2 linked regions of the Kluyveromyces lactis genome follow. The protein of the gene in region 2 interacts with the protein of the main gene of each other region in a pairwise test. Links are inferred from orthologs where the notes say so. Each region holds a gene or a part of one and is shown on either strand. Other genes may lie near its edges.

What was found.
Region 1: the proteins of SDS22 (region 2) and YPI1 interact in binary tests that used the Saccharomyces cerevisiae proteins (3 or more experiments, as listed by UniProt). The link is inferred for Kluyveromyces lactis from reciprocal best matches to the Saccharomyces cerevisiae genes SDS22 and YPI1.

The regions. Positions count from the first base shown.
Region 1 is NC_006041.1:1,251,750-1,254,508, reverse strand, and holds YPI1 (type 1 protein phosphatase-activating protein YPI1), read right to left. Parts: upstream 1,012-2,759; coding exon 544-1,011; downstream 1-543. Other genes in the region: linker nucleoporin NIC96, read left to right, coding at 1-296; proteasome regulatory particle lid subunit RPN11, read left to right, coding at 1,694-2,629; mRNA splicing protein SAD1, read right to left, coding at 2,742-2,759.
Region 2 is NC_006040.1:237,290-240,710, reverse strand, and holds SDS22 (type 1 protein phosphatase-activating protein SDS22), read left to right. Parts: upstream 1-1,572; coding exon 1,573-2,661; downstream 2,662-3,421. Other genes in the region: guanine nucleotide exchange factor DCK1, read left to right, coding at 1-514; ACP1 (acyl carrier protein), read left to right, coding at 831-1,196; KLLA0_D02794g (putative alanine--tRNA ligase), read left to right, coding at 2,865-3,421. UniProt on the Saccharomyces cerevisiae protein: Regulator of the mitotic function of yeast type 1 protein phosphatase.

The sequences.
Region 1 (2,759 bases), on a different chromosome or scaffold from region 2:
TCGATTTAATTCCGTTCACGGATGAAAGCTCGACCAGAAAAAGAGCACAAGAATTTACACATTTGGATGAGAATATATTAAAGAACATACCTAACCTGTTGATAATTACAATGCTATGCATTTCTAACATCATAAAGCAGTTGAACGAAAGTGATTACCAATCTTTGACTAAAAAGCAGCAAATCGATTCTCTCAAACGTGTTGCTAAAAATTGTATGATTTATGCTGGTATGATTCAATACAAAATGCCAAGAGAAACTTACAGCATATTAATCAATATAGAAGTTGGTTTGTAGCAGAGCTCTCATTTATGAGCACCTGAGTTATGTCAGAACCCAGACGTCCTACCATAATAGCATACAATAAAATAACCATGTGTAAGTCGATTGTTATTCGATATAATTGCCTGATAGATTATATATGCATATGTATATATATACATTTGAACTGCCAATTACCTTTTCAGCAGTGCATTGTTGTAGTGAGTAGAAGATGCAACGAAATGTACAAGAAGTGAAAGAGTATGCTGATCAAATTCCTAAATCATTGAGCGTCTTTTCTGTTCTTATCTCTATAAGCGCTGTAATCTGGCTGGACTTCGTATGCATTCGGACTTGGTGGACGTTTTTGCTCAAGCTTTTTTCTCCGCCTTTCGAGTCTTGCCTTTCTTCTTTCGTCAAAGCTTTTTCCCTCATCCTCGTCTGAAGAAGACGAAGATGATGAAGACGATGAATCATGTCCATGATTATGATCGTGCTCGCACTCTCCTTCCTCTTCTTCATCACTCTCTAATGGGGTATTAGGATGGAAAATGCAACAAATCTTAGTTTTCTTCTTGTTCATGTTCTCATTATCTATTACTTTCTCATCCCATCTTACTTTAGACTTGGTGTCCTTCTTCTTAGTTTTGTTTTTCTCATTCTGGCCAGCACGCAATTGAAGCAGCTGCGGAACCTCCGTAACAGTGACGGTATGCGTTCCTTCAGGAAGAGCAGAAGGTCCTTCACTCATATGTTAGGAAATATTTCAAAGTTTAATTATGATGATGGATCAAACTGATAAAAAAAGCGTGACGATAGGTAAAGTTTTCCTGTCTAAGTCTTGATAATCTTTCGTAATTTCACTTATCAAAGGACTGGGAACAAAGTATGAATAATGTAAGAAATCGTTTCCTATTTCTAAAATCTTCGGCGTCAATAAAACGGAATATTTTCTTCAACAAGTCGTGCTCTCGAGTATTTGACTGTACTAGACCATGGAGCTTCGCTTTGTATATGAGATATCCATGTATGCATAGAAGTACTCCAGTCTCATCTCATTTTTAAAGGGAAGAAAGAGGTTAAATATCTGAAGGTCAGAAAGTGGTGATGTTCGTTAATAATGACTACTAAATCCATAAGCCAAAAGAAAGATCGTAACTTTGTAATGCAGTGGCAAACAGTTTACAATTGATAAAGGTATAAGCAGATAATTCGTCAAGAATTCTCATCTCTGTACGTGTGGTATCCATAAGTCATTATTAGCAGTATTAGATACACAGTAATTGAAATCTACAAGACAATTGCATACTTCTCAGGAAAGAATAAGAATTTCAATTTGTTGGTACTTTATTAAGGAAGTATTATATCAAGAAACAGAACGCTGATACAAAAGCCAATTTATCGTCTCCGCAATTCAAATCCTTCAACAAAAGATGGAAAGTTTACAAAGAATGATGATGTCTCAAAGAGCAGGCATGATGGGTGCCAATGCCACCGAGGTTCCCCTTGATGACACCAAGGAAACTGTGTACATTTCTTCTCTTGCATTGTTGAAGATGTTGAAACATGGGAGAGCTGGTGTTCCAATGGAAGTCATGGGTCTTATGTTGGGAGAATTTGTTGATGATTATACAGTAAACGTTGTCGATGTGTTTGCCATGCCTCAGTCAGGTACAGGTGTTTCTGTCGAGGCTGTTGATGATGTTTTTCAAGCTAAGATGATGGATATGTTAAAACAAACAGGAAGAGATCAAATGGTTGTCGGATGGTACCATTCACATCCGGGTTTTGGTTGTTGGTTATCTTCAGTAGATGTGAATACTCAGAAATCATTTGAACAATTAAACAGCAGGGCTGTGGCGGTGGTTGTTGATCCTATTCAATCGGTGAAGGGTAAAGTGGTCATTGATGCATTCAGACTAATTGACCCTTCTACTGTCATGAGAAACCAGGAACCAAGGCAAAATACTTCTAATATCGGGTTGATCAACAAACCGAATATTCAAGCGTTGATTCATGGTCTAAATAGGCATTATTACTCGCTTAATATCGATTATCACAAGACTTCCGCCGAAATGAACATGTTAATGAATCTACATAAGGAACAATGGCAATCGGGACTAAAAATGCATGATTTCAAGGAAAGAGAGGAGCACAACTTGGGTGAAACTCAGAAAATGATTAAGATCGCTGAACAATTCACTAAGAGAATTGAGGAAGAGAGAGAATTGAGTGAAGAAGAATTGAAAACGCGTTATGTAGGAAAACAGGATCCAAAAAGACATCTTGCAGAGACTGCTGAAAAGCTCTTGGAAGACAATATAGTATCTGTATTAACAGCGGGTGTTAACTCTGTTGCTATTAAATAACCATCTTACATACAGTAAAAATACATCAACTTCAATTTGCGAGATAAGTTTTAGCCGATGAAATGATGAATCGATCCAAGAGTGTAGATAATCTGAATAACGAAAGCAGTTTCTAAACGCGTTGCCATAT
Region 2 (3,421 bases):
AGAGTATCGTGTATTCTATACGGATGAAGAAACCAAATCGAAACTAGATCCTGCTGATGTGGAATTATTAGTTGCTGCGTTCAACGAATTGACCATTGTCCTAAACCGTTGTCTCGCACTACACGGACAGCTGTGTCCAATCAGCTTAAGCAAGTCACATACGCTTTTGAAGGACTTATTCGCCAAGAATTTCGAAAAAGAGATCAAAGTTAGCGGAATCGATATCAACGAGACCAACGACGAAATAATCGCAAGAATAAAATCAATCCAGTCATCTCAGCAAAGTTTTTCCAAGAGAAGTAGTATGCTAATGTCAAGATCCATATTCTCAGAGAGCCACTCTATCAGATCTGCTGGAAGTAACGGAAGTGCAACAAAAAACAGTATGCATGATCTCACCGTTACCTCTTCCCATAGAACTACAAAAAGCAACGCGCCATCTCACGCAGCGTCACATGCTACGAGAATATCTCGTCCTACCACACATATCAGCATGCTAAGAAGCACAAGATAGCATAGAATAACTTTCTCCCACTGCAACTGTTCTAATTCTCACCTCATGTAGTCTATATAACAATCCAAATACATTTAGGAAAACATCAAAACGTACGGAGTGATTTATGTGCCTAAGCAATTTTTCCCGGTAAAAAATCGATCAAAAGCCAATTCTTTGCAGAGAGAGAGTTTGGATTAAACCTTTCTACCACAACTATTTTCAACGATCATTTGTTGTACATTCTTTTTATTTTACATTCGATTATTTCAGATCGTTGTTACTGTACAGTATAGTGTCTAGTGATATTACAGAGAGATAAAGAAGGAAAGCAAAGATGTTTAGAAGTGTATTCCGTGCTGCCCCAAGTTTGACCAGAGTTTCTGGATTGAGAAGCGGATTTGTAAAGCCAACTTTTTCAAGTGCTTCCAGGTTCTATGCTTCTTCTTCTCTATCCAAAGAAGAAATCACAACCCGTATTGCTGATGTGATTAAATCTTTTGATAAGACAGCTTCTGCTACTTCGATTACTGCTAACACTCAATTTTCCAAGGATTTAGGATTAGACTCATTGGATACCGTTGAATTGTTGGTTTCCATTGAGGAAGAATTCGATATCGAATTCCCAGATAAGGTTGCAGATGAGCTCAAGTCTGTCGGTGAAACTGTGGAATACATCGCTTCCAGCCCGGAAGCTAACTAAGCAATTGGGATCCGAAACGTTGCCCTTCGGTTTTACCAGAATTTAATGTGGAAGAATGTACATATATTGACACACATATATAACTTATAATGAAAGATAAGATAGTTTTGATGAACTGTTTCATGGCCAAAGTGCTATATGTAAACGTCTATTTGTATATCCTTATTACTCCATATGTTTGAACTTGATTTCCATCGGGTCATATGATTTGTAATTCAAACATTTTTCCTTGCGCCCAATGATCACTGAGTTCAATTTTTAAGGTTATGTAACATGCAAACCACATCTTTAGACAGACGGTTGTTGAGGTAAAGACAATGGTTATAAACGCCATTTAGTATTAGATCCGAACCCATATACTTCCAATATATAAAAAATGAGCCGTGAAGAGAGAGTTTTGAGTGATACTGATAATGAAAATACGAATGAGGAAATAGAGACTGGTATTGATTCCCCGGACGAATCATCTTCAGGGTTGTTCACAGCGGGACGCTCGTTACAATCGAACGTCATAGAAGACCACAACCCTGACTATATATCTGCAGATGCAGAATTGGCCGCAGAGATACCAGATGACACCGAAGTAATTGACTTAGTGCATTTGAAAGTACTGGCGTTGGAAGACTTGAATTTGTTGAGATTTAAGAATTTGAAGAAGTTATATTTAAGACAGAATTTGATCGAGTCAATAGCTGAACTGGAGGTACTACCGTTAGAAAACATGGAAGAGATTGATTTTTACGATAATAGAATCAAACACATCTCGAAAAGCGTTAATCTTTTCTCTAATCTAAAGACACTCGACTTATCTTTTAATAAGATTAGAACTATCAAGAACGTCGATAAATTGGTAAACCTCGAGAATTTGTATTTCGTCCAGAATAAGATATCTAAGATTGAAAATTTAGGAACCCTTACAAAGTTGAAAAATCTTGAGCTTGGTGGCAACAGAATCAAAGAAATTGGTCCTGATGACTTGAAAGGTTTGGCTAATCTCGAAGAGATATGGTTGGGTAAGAACTCAATCCCTAAATTGATAAACTTGCAACACCTCAAAAATTTGAGAATATTAAGCATCCAATCTAACAAATTGAAGAAATTTGAAGGACTTGAGGAGTTGGAGAACTTAGAAGAATTGTATGTCTCTCACAATTTTATTTCGAAGATCGAAGGACTTGAAAATAACCTAAAATTAACTACTTTAGATGTAACTGGTAATAGACTTACGAAGATCGAAAACTTAAAGCATTTGACACATCTTACTGACCTATGGGCGTCTGATAATCAAATTGATCAACCGTTCGAATCTCTAGGCGAAGAATTGGGGAAATTACCTGAATTTGAAACGATATATCTCGAAGGAAATCCAATACAGACTAAAAATCCTACACAGTACAGAAGAAAGATTATGTTGAATTTGGGGGAATCGCTTCAAAAAATCGACGCTACGTACGTTCGTGCCTAATTAAATAAATATACGCTACGCACTTCTATTGAATGAGCAGTTAACCAGTATTTGCTGCTTTTCCCTCAGTTATATATATGTATGTACATATCTAGCACAAACAACAGAACATCATTTACTAATCAATATTTTAACCAACTTACATCATTGATAAGAAGAGAGGAAAAAAGGAACTTAAAACATGTTAGTCGGCATAAAAGCTGATGGTAAGAGGCATAAAATTGGTCGGAACGTTAGCCATGGTTAAAACTGCAAACCACACTTTTGTTGGTTCTCTAGCCTGCCAACGAGACTCATTTAAGGCCAAAGAATTTGAGACTACTGTAATTGCATGCGATGTAGGTAAGAAGAAGAATACCTTTGAGATCGAACTTCAGGATACTATCTTGTTTCCAGAAGGTGGCGGACAACCTAGTGACTCTGGGAAATTCCTTCTCAAAACTGGGGCCTCAATTCCTGTCTCCTCAGTATTCAGAAGAGGACTGCATGCAGTTCATATCACTGATAGGGATGTTCCAGTCGGAGCTAAAGTGTCTGTTGAAATTGATTGGGATAAGAGATTGGACTATATGCAGCAACATACGGGACAGCACTTGGTAAGTGCAATTCTTGAACAGAAGTGGGGGTTGAAAACCCTCTCTTGGTCTATGGGGGGTATTCCAAGTGAGAAGAAACCAAAGATTGAACCGTATGATCTGTTCAACTATTTGGAGATTAATAGGAGATTGACCTCAGAAGAAGTCAAGGAGTTGTCCGATAC